Notamacropus eugenii: one gene and its partner. The protein of the gene in region 1 interacts with the protein of each later gene in a biochemical or structural test. Links are inferred from orthologs where the notes say so. Each region holds a gene or a part of one and is shown in the gene's direction. Other genes may lie near its edges.

Region 1 (8,178 bases):
TATCTATAGGCATATGAAGAAGTACTCTAAATCATTTTTGATTAAAGAAATGTGAATTAAAACAACTCTGAGATTCTGCCTCACATCTATCAAATTGGCTAAAATGACCAAAAACAGGAAAATGATAAATGTTGGAGAGGATGTAGGAAAATTGGGACACTAATGCACTTCTGGTGGAGCTGTGAACTGATTCAACCATTATGGAGAGCAATTTGGAACTATGCACAAAGGGTAACCAAACTGCACATACCCTTTGATTCTATAAAACCACTACTAGGCTTTTATCCCAAAGAGATCATCAAAAAGGGGAAAGGAACTACATGTACAAAAATATTTATGGCAGCCCTTTTTTGTGGTAGCAAAACATTAGAAACTGAGGAGATGCCCATCAACTGGGGAATGGCTGAACATATGAATGTGTATTGTAGGAATGTATATATGAATGGAATGGGATACTATTGTGCAATAAGAAATGATGAACAGGAACATATCAGAAAAACTTGGAAAGACTTGTACAAACTGATGCAAAGTGAAATGAGCAGAGCCAGGAAGACGCTGCGCACAATATCAACAGCATTGTATGATGACCAACTATGAATGACTCAGTTTTATTCAGCAACACGATGATCCAAGACAAATACAAAGGACTCATGAAGGAAAATGCTATCCACATTCAGATAAAGAAATGATGGCCTCAATGCAAATCAAAGCATATTTCTTTCACTTTCTTCTTTCTTGTGTTTTTTTCTTTTAATCTGTTTCTTCTTTCACAACTGTGACTAATATAGAAATATGTTTTACCTGACAACACATGTATAACCTATATCAAATTCTCTACCTTTTTTAGGAAGAGGGGAGGAGAGGGAGCAAAATTTGGAACTCAATCTTGTAAAAATGAATGCTAAAAATTATCTTGATATATAATTCATAAAAAATATTATTAATAAAAAAACTGAAAAAAATATTGAGAAAATCCTCTTTACTGCTTGTTCTGGAAAGACAGAGGATGAAAGATAAATTGGGGAGAAATAGAAATTTACTTTCAGTAATGACAGTCTCATACTGAGACAATTCAGCGGTAAGGCTGGTTATAAATCATTATCCAAGATCTTCTATCCTCTCTTTATAAAAATTTCTCTGGTTTCTCCAGTTGGAAAGGATTCTTCCCTCAGGAACTACACCCAAAGGAGAACTTTATAGTGTTATACATATTCTAATTATACATAATCTACTACAAGATTCTGCACATGTCTTATGACCCCTTCTAGACCCTAAATTTCTTAAAGATACAGGCCATTTCCTACTTATATTTGTATATGCTCCAGTCTCTAGCCTACTACACTGCACAGATTAAATTCTTAATAAATGTTGAATGATGGGTATAATAGGATCAGAGAAATAACATGATTTAAACCATTGAATAGGATACTACAGGCCTAAATTCAATTCTAGACCTATATGGAAAGTTATAGAATTCCATTATTTCATACATTTTTCATTTTGTAAAAACAAGGATATCTTTGTTGGTACTGCTTTGTCATTACACCCTAGGTACCACGAGATTTTTGCATTTGATTTGAAATGAAAGTCTTCCAAATGGGTGAGCTCTTTGAAAATGGGAAATATCTTTCTTTTCTTTTCATATCTCTGGGACTTTGAACATAGTGCTTAATATATGCTTCATTCATTCATTCATTGTAGGAACTAGAAATGTAATTTTATAATAAGTACGTTCTCCTTGAAAACAAAAGGTCTCTTTCTCTTTCTTTCTTTCTTCCTTCCTTTCTTCCTTCCTTCCTTCCTTCCTTCCTTCCTTCCTTCCTTCCTTCCTTCCTTCCTTCCTTCCTTCCTTCCTTCCTCTCTCTCTCTCTCTCTCTCTCTCTCTCTCTCTCTCTCTCTCTCTCTCTCTTTCTTTCTTTCCTTCTTTCTTTGTAACTAGCACACTGCCAACACATAGTAGGGACACAATAAATGCTGCTTGGTGGACTGATTGGAAAGATGAAAACTAACTAGATCTTGAGAATTGTTCACATTTTAGACTGAATGATGGTTCTCAATTACATGGCCCTTTAAAGGCCATACTTCAAAGGCATCCTCTGAGGGAGATAATGTAAATATCATTCCTAGTTTACAGACAAAAAAATAGCCTTAGAAAAGTAAAATGGCTTGCCCATGACCGCGTACCTAATATGTTGAAGAGCTAGGATACGTAACCAAATCTCTTGACTCCTTATTTAAGTCTTCCAGGACACTTATAAAAAATTATAAAAGACCTTGGAGACTATCTAGTCCAACCCATACCTGCAGAACTCCCTCTATAATATCCCTCACAAGTAGCCATCTAGTCTCAGTTTAATGACCTCAATCCACTGCCACTTAAGACAACAACCCATAAATCGACCCTAAAGGTTTAAGGGTTTAATGAGTGTCTCAAAACTAAGCAGCTTATTCCCTGGGAAGGTATATTCATTATTTGAGTTTCCAGGAGAAAGACATTATACACACCTACTGAAATGCTTAGCAGATGCTTGTTTGCTAACTGATTGATGCTTTCATTGACAAGATAGTCAGCTTTTAGTTTTCTGAAGGTATCAAGTGATCCAGTTTAGCAACAAAATGGTATTTGCCAAAACCTGAATAGGGCTCTTATGAGAAATACATTATATTCTCAATGAAAGAAACATTCACAAGCTCTTTTTTGTTTTTTTGGGGAGGCTAAAAAAAAAAAAAAGGTTTTAAAGCAGCACAAAGTTTTTGTTTTTTTTTTAAATCAACTAATTTTTTTTTTTTTTTGGATCTGGCGAAGGAAATGGCAAACCACTCCAATATCTTTGCCAAGAAAATCCCAAATGGGGGTCATGAAGAGTCACACCTGACTGAAACGACTGAACAGCAGTAACAAACGTTTTGTTTTCATCCTCCTTTTCTCACATATACTTCATGAATGAATGGGGGAGAGGAATACTAATGAAGTTTCATTATTCTTTGTTGGTTCCAGTGTGGAATCTCTCTCTACTTATCATAAAATATAAGCTCCTTGAGTCTGACTCTATTTTATTATATCCCCAGAGACCAACACAATGCTATGGTCATAGTGTACCTAATGAATGGTTAGTGATTGGTAATAAATGGTTAATTCTTCTATGTTTTATAGAGGTCACTCAGGTAGTATTTCTCAGATGTAGAACTTAAAACCTTGATTAGTACAAATTTAAAATTTATGTTTGACAAGACTGGCTGACATGAAGTCATTTTTCAAGGGGGGGAGGTTGTGGCACAGGGGAAATTTGGCATCAGTAATTGACTAGCCATTTTATTTAAAGCAGCTAGGTGGCACATTGGATAGGGCTAGGCTGAGAGTCAAAGACCTGTTGTACAATCCTGTCTCAAACACATAATCGGTGTTTGACCCTAAGAAAGTTATTTAATCTCTTTTAGCCTTGGTTTCTTTTTCTATCGAATGAGGAGGTGGGATTCAGCGGCCTCTAAGGTAATATTTATGAAGTCCTTAGCATAGTGCCTGGCACATAGTACATATGGCATAAATGCTCATTCCCTTGTCTTTCCCTCTAAGGACCCTGCCAGTCCTGAATCAGTGATTTTGTGATTTTCACTCTGGGGAACAAATGACCCTGTTCTCTGTTTTTATTGGCTGAGATGACTGACTGTACTGAAAAGCAATTAAAATGCTTGATGGATTTAAACATTAAGACCTATTTTGTCCAAAGATTAAAAATATTTGAGTGAAATTAAATGGAAAGGGTCTTGGGGGCATAAACTGGGAAGGAACTAATTGCCCTAGTATCAAACACTGACCTTCTAGCCTGCATTTGCCTTCAGAGTGCTCTGATTCTTCTAGTGAGCCAAACTGTGATACCCACCATTATCTGCAAGTAGTAAGTATGTGAATCCCACTGGAGGTTTCCATAATGTAGAGACTACAACAAATATGGAAAATATTCATATTCTAGGAGAAAAAACCAACAAGTTGAAGATAAAAAGGTTAGCTAACCTAAAGTTGTCTTGGTTAGGAAGATGGAACTCATACATAGGAACTGTCAAGACTTAAGAATTTAGGAACTGTTTATGAATTTATGAATTATCAATGGCCTTTGAGCCTCCATCTCCCACCTCTACTATCAATCATTAGAATATTTCTTTGTTCATTATCACCTTACCCTAGGTGGGACGGTGAAATACAATCAGCTAATTTGACTAATTATTAAGCATCCCAGATCATCTTGAGAGAGGACGAGGGCTATAGAGAAGAAACTTGACATTACTTTGTAAGATGAGGTTTGAGAATTACTTGTGACTATAACCCTCTCTCCACCTTCCCTCCACCAAGATGACTGCAAGAGATTTAAGTTTTCTGCAAAGTTTTTTATTGCACATAAATGTTTAGAATGCATGGGTCCCCCAGTATTGTATGGTACAAGGGTGTGGAATCTGTGGCCTCAAGGCCACATGTGGCCCTCTAGGTCCTCAAGTATAGTCTTTTGACTGAATCCAAACTTCACAGAACAAACCGACATCAGCCCTTTGACTGAATCCAAACTTTTGTTCTGTGAAGTTTGGATTCAGTCAATGGGCCATACTTGAGGACCTAGAGGGCCACATGTGGCCTTGAGGGAGGTAGCAGTTTCTCTACTCATGGTCTAGTAAATTCAAAAGCTGTGGGTTATGATTATTATTTTCTTTCAGTATTTGACAGCCACTTTCTCCCATGTGAAACTATTAACTTGAGGAAGCTACAGGTCTTAGTAGCTGTGCTGACAAATGTGACCTTGCATTAATAAGTAGAGTCACCAAGGGGAGCTGGGACAGACAGAGATTCACATTGGAGAGAATTACCTAAGTCTGTCCTCCCCTTTGGCTCCGGGAGACAGCAAGGGACCCTCCCCAGCCCAAATAAGGAAAGGGAGAATGTACCCGGCATTGAGTGCACTAAGAATAAACCTGAGCTCCTGTGGATAAGGTTACTCTCAACACATTTTGTTTTCTGTGACACAGACCCCAAAGATCTGTAATTATCCTGGGATTGCTGTGGGGGTTTGCCTGCTTCTTCCTAGTTATTTTGCCTGTGTGTGAGCACGTGTGCATCTGTTGGTGCCCGGGATCTTTCCATCTCTCGGCTTGGTTGCTCCCCTTTGGCACTGGAGAGCTGGTGTGCTTGTGCTCCCGGGTGTGTGGATGTGTGTGGAGGTGGGGGTGGGGGGGTCTCAGCAGTGCCAAGTCCGAGGGAGGCAGGCAGGGCTATTTTTGTTCGAAGCTGATACTTTTTGCATGAGTTAAAGTCACTGCCTAGAAGAGGGTTCAGGTTGTTTCCGGGGGGAGAACTGTGCAGAAGAGACCCAAAGTTCAACGAAGCCCCAAGAAGCAGCTAGAACAGCAAGGAAAAAAGCAGGGGCCCCCCACAAGTGAACAGTGCACCCTCTGGCTGGGCCAGCTCCAGGACCCTGAAGCATTCTTCAGACTGCCATCTTAACAGCACTTTTTTAAACTAACACTCACCCCTGCCACCATGACTGAGATCACAGCAGAAGGTACTGTAACCATTTTCTAACACAACTGTAGGGAGATCTTGAATATGACAGATGCACTGAATTGATGTACAACAGATGGAAAGAGGCCCCTGCCATTTTCAGACTGGAATACACAGCGTGGTGTATGTTGTTTGTGATTGTGTAGGGGGCTGGGGCCTCAGGGGACTTTGTTGTGGGGGTGAGATGGGAAGGGTTCTATACGTGTCTGCTTTGTTGTGGGGGAACTGTTAAGGGCTGGCCGGTGGGCCTACTGGTTAAAAAACTTATTGGCCCCCAATTCTATAAATAGCTCTGTATCTGTAATATGAGAGTAGGTGCCTGAGTATGAACCTTCCATGAGAGTGGGTGGAGTTTATGCTAAACTTAAACAATTAGGCTTAATATTTATCCTTGAAGATATCTTGTTTTTAAACACACACAGACACGTGTGTACATATACATATATGTACATATACACAGCTGAGTTAATTCAAGATTAGCATTTTACTTCTTTTCTTGTAGCTTATCATATATAAAAATATGTATGTATCTTCCTACATATGTGTATATAAATATATACAAAAGTCTTAGTGCAATTTAAAATATTAATAGTTTAAAATCATTAATTGTTTAAAATTATACTAAGGCTTTCGGAATACCTTGTGTAGTCACACAAACATGAAAATATGCTTAGTCTAAAATAGTCTTGGTATATTTTATATTCCGTTGAACATTCAGCTGAATATTTTTATAGTAAAACAAAATTACTTTAGATCAATGAGAGAGAGAGAGAGGAGAGGGAGAGGGAGGGAGAGAGAGAGAGAGAGAGAGAGAGAGAGAGAGAGAGAGAGAGAGAGAGAGAGAGAGAGAGAGAGAGAGAGAGGAGACATAGTTTAGTTTCCAAAAATCCAAATTCCTTGCCCACTGATAAGGAAGAAATCTGCTAAAGGAAAGACGTCACCTCCATTCTTTAGAAAAATGAGAACACATTTAATATAGCTTTTAAGTTTCAGAGTTCAGAGCTCATCTATCTCTAATTTGCTTCTGGCAGTTAGAAGAAAATGAAACAGGTGGTCCTTAGTGCTCGACAGTTTCCAGATTGGAGTGTTGGCCAGAGGAGCTGGTGAAATAGGAGGTTTGTGGTCTTAGCTCTTTGTGAGGTTATTAGGCCAGGGTCAAATTTTCAGTTCCTTATTTTTCTTTGCAAGCTTGTAGCTGGAAATTGTCATGAGAATCTAAGAAATAATCATTTGCATTTTCCAAATGTTTTATGCCTTGTAATTTAAAAGACACCAAAATTTAACATTATTCAATCTACCATTTAGAATTTGGAGGCTGAATGTGAACAGTTTTGTGTTATTTTGTTTCTTCTATTGTTTGAGGACCAACATTTATAAAGCAATTTATACAGGAATTTAAAATTTGCAAAAACCCTTTACATGTCATTTCCTCTGAGCATTAAAAAAATCTTTTTTAGTTACTACATACATTATAATCCACATTTTATATATGAGAAAACTGAGTCATAAAGCTAGTATGTATCTAAGGGGAGATTTGAGCCCAGGTTTTCCCAACCTGAAGTCCAGCATTTTGGAAGAGTTGAATAAATGCTTATTAATCTGTTTGATATACGACTCACGTTCTATTTGGTTTATTCTTGGAGAAGGCTCTACATGATAACCACAACTCCAGCCCTGTGCATGGTATTTAGAGACACGTGTCCTTAGTTCTTTACCTCTGAATAGCATTGACCTTCAGCAGAATTATAATACCAACTGGCTAAAATAAACCATTCCTTACTTGTACTTGGAGCAGGCTCAGTAGATCTTTGCAATTGTTTGTGGAAGCTTTCTGCAAGTGAAGTCTTGGTTACATGCTAAAATGCTAGTTCCTACTGTCCCCAAGTGTAGCATTTTAGGAGCAGTGGGGATGATATCCTTCCTTTTTGTATGTCGTATATACAGTAATCAACATTTAGAATCTAATTTCTTAAATGACCCTCAGCCAGAGCTCAGAATATTATCTATGCCCTGACTACTCCAGCTTCATAGGATCTTAAATCCCTGCATCGTCATTTCCAGCTTTTTCTCTCTCCTTTTATGTCTTTCATTTCAGTGATAGTCAAATGCCATTAGCCTGTCTGCTAGAGAGAGCTTGCCCCTGAAGATAGGTGTTAGAGTTAATGCATAAGGGTGTTCAAGGTGCCCTCTCCAACTATTAAGCTATGTATTATAACACACTTTCTTTGCCTTTGCTCTCGGGCACTTCTGCTTAACTTAAACAATATGTCACACTTTGCTGTAGCTAAACTATTTATCAAATGGCCTTCTCCTTCATTTGCTACATATCAAGGAAAAGGATTATGGAATTTTAGAGCTAGGAGAAACCTCAGAGACAATCTAGTCTACCATGCCTGCCCCTTCAACCCTCATCTTTATTTCTGTATGAGAAAACTGAAACCCAGAGAGATCAAGAGACTGGCCCATAATCACACATAGAGTTAGTTTGTTGTGGAAGGCTGTTCAGACTTGTGCCGTGGGTGCTAGTGATACTGGAAACCATTTAACTGTGCATATATCTCATGGCTCTTCCCTACTGCCCCTCTGTCTGTCTCTCCCTCCTCAGATACCATCTCTACACAGATGCCTGCCAG
Region 2 (7,268 bases), about 89 Mb from region 1:
ATTAAATAAATTTTTTAAAAAAACAATGTGAACAATTGTTTCTTCATGTACATGAGCAGCTAATATCAATCAATAAAGAAGCAGTGTGTGTGTGTATGTGTGTGTGAGTGTGTGTGTATGTGTGTGACTCTTTCCCCAGAGTCATCATTACCAAGATAGGGAAGACCACACACCATACAAGAAAGGCTTGGATCCTTTATAGTTTTGGGTGGTCTTGGAAAAACCTTCCTTCTGGGGGGAAGCCATATGGTCAAAATGGAGAGAAGCCAAAAATTTGAGTTCTCCTGCTGAACTGGCAGATAAAGAGGTCAGGGCCTAGCACACTTGCATTTGAAAACAGGAGGGAATGTAGACCAGATCAGATCAGAAACAGAAGCAAAGTACTAATAAGATCAGATGAGTTTGGCATCCAAAGTGGACTGAAGTGAAGTCCACAGTCTCCTCTGTCTACTTACTTTCCCAGAACACTGCCCAAGGAAGTTTAACTTGTCCAGCATTAACCTGTTTCTTCCTGGATCTCCCTCTGAGGAAAAGAGGGGATGAGGAAAGGGAGGAGGAAGGAGTAGAAAGAAATTCAACATCCTCCTAAAACTGCAAATCACGTTCCAACATGCTGTACTTTAATTCCTGTCTGTGTTTCTATACTATTTGCAGTTGCTATGAAAATATAGTCATTTACCATGATTTTATTTCAAGTCTATTAAGTGCACAGTTTGAGACTGAAACATGGGGAGCTAATTGAAAGGAACAAATTTTTCCCCCAAAAGAGGCTGGGGTGGGGACTGATGAAGCAATTAAAGAGAATTTCTGAAATTTTAGTAATATTTCAGAGCTTCTTCATACCTTAGACTGCTTTTTAAATCCAGGAAGAGACTTAATGAGAGAATAAACAAGGAAGACCTGAGTTTAAGGCCTGACTTGCACATACACTGACTGTGTGATCTTGGGCAGCTCTCAATGCCCCAGGTAAATCTCTTCAGCTCCAAGTTGTGATATAATTACAAACCTGCATTGGCAGAGGAATTTTTTTAATCTTGAGTTCCCTAAGCTAATGTAATTACAGGTACAGTATAAATAGGTATGTGTGTGTGTGTGTATCAGTAATAGTAATGCAACCTTTCATATATATGTATATGTGTACATATGCACACACATATATACATACATATATCTACAGATGTATATATGTGTATGCATATATTATAAATATATATGAAATATTACTTTGCAGATGATGAGTTCATTATCTCTGAGAACAAGAGAAAAACAGGAAATGGGCTAAAATGACAGAATGAGGGCTCACAAAACCATAGCTTTAGACCTGAAAAGCACTTTAGAGATTATCTAGTCTTTCTCTCCCATTTTACACATAAGGAAATTAAGACAGAGAGACAGATCTTATATGCTTTGCTCAGAGTCAGTGGCAGAAGTGGGATAGAAATATGGAATTTCTGGCAATAAGGGAGTAAGACAGTACTCAGAGTTTCTGACAGTTTCTGTGGAATCTCATTTTGTGGTGTTGCTCTTATTGGTTTATTCATTAAGTCAGTGTAGAGTCACATGTAATATTGGATGGTTTGAATGTCCCCAAGATAGCAGAAGGTTACAGATGAAGCCCCCAGGCATGTGAGTCAATACATACATATATAGGAGTGAGAGGGAAAGAATATCCCCCATTTTCATCATTCCACATCTTAGAAGAGGAATATCCTCCCCCTCTTCATGAGGAGGAGCAGTAAGTGTTTTCATTTGGTGTCCTAGCAAAGCCCAGGCTGGAGGGCAGTGGGGAAACCGTTGTTCTTCAGTCTTTCAGCTGCGATTAACTCTTCATGACCCCCTGGGCCATCACAATCCAGGTCCTTCTGGACACTTCCAGACACTTCCAGATCTGTTTAAGCTCATGTTCATTGTTTCCATGACACTAACTTCTCATTCTTTGTCATCCCCTTTTCCTTTTGCCTTCAATCTTCCCCAACATCAGAGTCTTTTCCAATGAGTCCCATCTTCTCATTATGTGGTCAAAGTATTTAAGGATAAGGAATATATAATATGTGATATAATATATAATATAACTTCTACATTATATTGTATGATGTTATACTATATGATATGATATAATATATAAGTGATACAGTGGGAAGCAATAAATCTATAGATGAAGAGCTCAGAGTACATTGCAAGCTTTCCCCAAAATACTAGCAATAATTGTGAACTGGTCCAACGTGGAATACAATTTAGAGCCATGTTACTGGTCATATACCCTAAGTAGGTCAAAGATGGAGGGAAAAGTCATACATAAGTATATATGTATATATATATATATATATACATATACACACACACACACACACACATATATATATATATATATATATATATATATATATATATATATATATATATATATATATATATATATATATATATATATATATATATATATATATCAAGACAGTAATATCAGTACTTTTGGGGAAGCAGCAAAATAAACAAGCAAACCAGAAAAAAAAACTGGAAACAAGGTAGGTGGTCATAGGTTTGGAAATGACTGAACAAATTGTGATATGGCATTTGAATATAATAGAATATTATTGTCTCATATGAAATAAAGACTGAGGGATGAGAACAACTTGTTTGAATTGCTATGAAGCAAAATCTGTAAAACCCCTGATAAAATATATACAATGACTACAATAATGTGAAGAAAACAATTCTAAAGGGACATCAATATTCAGATCAATATAATGCCTCATTGTGACTCCAGATGACTGATGCTCAAACATGAATTTCTTCTCTCAGTAGTCAAGTGGGGGCACCATGATTGTATAATAAGGCATACATTGTCTAACATATTCCATTTGGCAGTTGGATTTTCCCAACTGTACTCCTTTGTTTAAAATAAAAAAAGGAACAATCTACTGGGGTAAGACAGTTAATGGGATTTGAAGTCAATGCTGTTTTTTTTAAAGCACTGGTAAAACATTTACAAAGAATTCTTCCCACTTTCTTTCCATCGTTGCACAAAATACACCAATGGTAGCTGGAATGAGGACCTGTGCATGAGTTGCTTGAAGGTAAAATTAGGAGACTGTTGTGCAAGAGTACTGGCTGTCGGTTGATTGTTGTCCTTCATCTTCGAAGATGACCAAAATGACATCACTATTGTAAAGTGAAATTTCAGTGTGTCCTACTGTGGCTGATCACACCAATACAAGCTCAGAATGCTCTAACACAAGTTGGGCACAGAGAGTCCACATGAATATTTGGGGTGGATATCCCAAATTTGTGCATCCTATATTTACTTTGTGCTGTCTCAATTCTGCTTTGCTCAAAGAGCACAGCACCTTTTCTTATGTGGGCATGCCATGCTAAGTGGTCCTGTGCCAGTGTCTCCCATGTTGCACAGTCAAATCCAAAGTTCTTGAGAGAGACCTTGAGAGTGTCCTTGTATAGTTTCTTCTGGCCACCATGTGATCGCCTGCCCCATGCAAGTTCTCCATAAAATAGTTGGGGCAGGTGATCACATGGTGGCCAGAAGAAACTATACAAGGACACTGTCAAGGTACCAGCTGTAGAGTTTGTGAAACTGAATTCCTTTTCCTCCCCCACACCTACTACTAGTGTGGTCTTAGGCAAGTCATTGAACCTCTAGGGGTCTCAGTTTCTTCATTTGTAAAATGAAGGAGTAGAATTAGATGAGATCTAAGGTCCTTTCCAACTCTAAATTCTATAATTCTACTAATTAACTGAATTACCTTTCAAGACCCTGTCCAACCCAAAGATTCCATACCTGTGGGGTATATTGTGATCCTTTTTCAAAATATCCATTAGCTAATTGGAGCCCTTGAACCTTATCTCTTTTCTCCTCTCTTCTTTCTGTGTCCTTTATAGCCATCTCACTGATTTCTGCATTCTCTTCTCCCCCCTCCACCCACCTCCATAGTGTCAGCGAATCCCTCAATAGTGTCATATCTGTCCTTTTTATTCATTGCAGGGTTTATTTTTAGCCTGAAACAACTGCATCCTAAAAATGGAGTTCCTCACAACACAGGAGTTGGGCCAAGCTATGTAAGGTATCTCGGCTTTGGCTTGACAGCTTCCCCTGCCTGTCTCTCTTTGTACACGCACATGTGTGTGAGACCGTCTGGGGCTCTTTGTCCTGAGTCCCATAACTGCAAAGTTAACTGGGCTGGAAGAGTTTGGATCAAACAACAGAAGGGCAAAAGAAAGGCAAATTCCATATAAACTGGTTCTAGCCCTTGGCTCCAACACGACCCAAGTAGCCTTTTCTTCTTTACTGCACTGGATTATTTCTAGGGAAGGACAGGCAGAGAGGGTCATCCTCAATGAAGGTAGCTTCTCTTTTACTAGTGGGTTTTTACCTGCTGCCTTCTTGTAGGACAGAAGAGGGACTGAACTTCCCCAGTTATGATGGGAAGGACCGGGTAATAAGTCTCAATGAGAAGAACTACAAGCAACTTCTGAAGAAATATGACCTGCTCTGCCTCTTCTACCATGAGCCAGTGTCTTCTGATAAAGTCTCCCAAAAGCAGTTCCAAATGAAAGAAATTGTCCTAGAGGTAAGTGGACAACATGCCTGCAAAAGTTGTCCAAATGAGTATATGGACATTTGTGTGTATGTTTAGGGATGTATGTGTATGTGTGTGTTTACTCAGGGGAATCTGTGGTGGGAGCATGTGAGTAGAGTACATTAATATCTAGTGGTGCCTTGATCTCACATCTATTTCAGTCCAAATATGTCTCTACAGTACCAATTGGGTCACAGAACGAGCCACCTGACCAAGAAGCAACATTCAGAAACATGGCCCCACATAGGAATGATGTACAGCACTCATGTGTGAGCTGTCTTTGGTTTTCCAGGAGTTGTTTTCCCCAAATCTCTTATCCCTTTGGCAGTCTTTGATTCCCTCATCTTGGGGTAAGGCTTCCACTGGAGGCCATGTAGGGAAAAATAAAAGCAAGGAGTTGACATCCAGTAGTTTGCCCATGGGTTCTGGCAAAAGGTTGAGCAAAAGATTTACGCAATATAATGAGATGTAGTGAGATTTGGGGATTACCCGTGTGTCTTATTCACTGGTCCTTGGTCCTCCAGAACTAGACACTGACCTTTGCTCTATCCATTGATAAGGTGGGAAAACAATACAAAATGAGTCTTGTTCTATCTCATTTTGTTATTGTTGTTTAGTCATTTTCAATCTCATAATTTGGCTCAAATCTACATGAGTAGAGATTAACTCAAAGAGTTTTTTCTCATAAAAGTCTGTTAGTTGGGAAAAGACACTGGTAGAAGACAGCTCTCATTTCATCTGGTTCATATGGGCTGTTTATAGCCTGGCATGGTGCCAAGTGTGCAATCTACTGTGAATGTGTGGAGGGTTTGTCCTTTAGAGGCCATCTAGACATCTTAAGATCTCTGTAATTGCCAGTACCCACAAGTGCCAGGCATTCTAGGAGGCTCTTAGATTTCTTTTCAGTCAAAGCTATGCTCTCCTTCTTAACGTGACTACCTAGCACAGCCTTGTCCACGTGGAAAATACCAGTTGGAGATTAGGGTAGTCTCTCTATTATCTGATTTACTCAGAGTGTTCTAGTTAATCCAAGAATAGCCAGATCTTTGGATAATGATAAAGTTACCATTTATAGAACACACTGATCATCAGCTTTCAAAGAATTAAAATATAATAAGAGCATACAAGAACAAAACTAAGCTGACTATAGATGGTCTCTGAGAATTCAGAAACTAAAGACCTTGCAGGGTGTTAGGGTTATGTCTAAAATAATACATTTTACCTAGCAGTCTAAGATTTATGAAGTACTTGGCTTATGGCAAGCTTGCAAAGTAATATCTTTATTAAAGATATTATATCTCTAATAAATATTTTAATAAATGTTTCAAGTATTTAATAATAAAATTTAAATTTATTTTAAAATAAAATATTTTTTAAAAAATATTTTAATAAAAATAAAGATATCTTTATTATCTTTATTTTTCAGAAGTGGAAAATGAGGCTCACATGTGTTGTCCAGAGTTGCATAACAAGTAAAGAACCAGAATGGTCATCTGACACCAGCTCTAATATGCTTCCCATTACACAAAAGAAAAATATGTTTTTAAATACTTATGATGTGTCCCAGTATTATGCTAAGTGCTTTACAAATATATCTCATTTGATCCTCCCACAAAACCCTGGTTGTTAAATTTTTATTATATCTACTTTACAGATGAGGAAACTGATGCAAATGAGGTTAAGTGACCTGCACAGCAACTAAGTATCTGAGGCTGGAATTGAACTCATGTCCTTCTGACTCCAGATTCAGCATTCCAACCCTCTGGGACACTTATCCGCCTCTAACTATGTGGTTTAAGAACAAGCAGCTGGAATGGGAAATGAACCCTGAATTTAGAGTTAGAAGACCTGAATTCAAGTTCTAACTCTGGTGCTTGCTATCTGTGTGACCTCAGGCAAATAACTTCCAGATTGTGGTTTTCTCACTGATAAAATGAGAGTTGGATTACATCATTTCTAAGGTCCCTGCCAGCTCTAAATCCACTTAACCTTTGCCTCAGTTTCCTTGGCTGTAAAACGGGGATAATAAGCATCTACCTCACAGGTTTGTTGTGAAGGTCTATCTAATGAGATTATATAAAGCACTTAGCACAATGCCTAGAACATAGTAAGTGCTTAATAAATGCTAATTCCCCTTCTTCCCCCTTGTTATATCTCGGACCCTCCTTTTTTGGTCATATATTTTTGTAATGATATCTTTTATTTCATTTCTTACTCATAGTTCCTGAGGTCTTGAGATAATATTGATAATAATAATAATAAATAATGATAATAGCTAGTATTTAAATAGTGTTTTAAGGTTTGCAAAATGCTTCACAGATCTGACCTCATGTTGTTGACCTCACTGTTGTGGGTCCGGGGAGTGGCATCTATTATTATCAGTGCCAGTACTCACAGCACCATAGGCCACTCTGCCTCTGCATGTGAGCATCCATTGCCATTTCACTGACAGGATGGAGATTTAGAGTTGGGAGGGATCTTAGAGATCTCCATGTCCAACTGCCTCTCTTTACAAAGGAGTACATAGAAGCCCAAGAAGGTCAAGTGACTTGGGAATCTCTTTCAAAGAGAAGTCTGGGCTCATGACTGGATGATTGATTCAAAGAGTCACACAGTTAATAAGTATCTGAGGCAGGATCTGAACTCAGATCTCCCTGATTCCATGTCACCGCACTACCA

The links.
Region 2: the proteins of TRDN (region 1) and CASQ2 form a complex in vitro, tested with the Homo sapiens proteins (3 studies listed by BioGRID). The link is inferred for Notamacropus eugenii from reciprocal best matches to the Homo sapiens genes TRDN and CASQ2.

Annotation. Positions count from the first base shown.
Region 1 is NC_092873.1:206,686,501-206,694,678, reverse strand, and holds the start of TRDN (triadin), read left to right. Parts: upstream 1-4,946; 5' UTR 4,947-5,524; coding exon 5,525-5,546; intron 5,547-8,178. UniProt on the Homo sapiens protein: Contributes to the regulation of lumenal Ca2+ release via the sarcoplasmic reticulum calcium release channels RYR1 and RYR2, a key step in triggering skeletal and heart muscle contraction.
Region 2 is NC_092873.1:295,289,201-295,296,468, reverse strand, and holds the start of CASQ2 (calsequestrin-2), read left to right. Parts: upstream 1-4,083; 5' UTR 4,084-4,346; coding exon 4,347-4,580; intron 4,581-7,268. UniProt on the Homo sapiens protein: Calsequestrin is a high-capacity, moderate affinity, calcium-binding protein and thus acts as an internal calcium store in muscle. Calcium ions are bound by clusters of acidic residues at the protein surface, especially at the interface between subunits.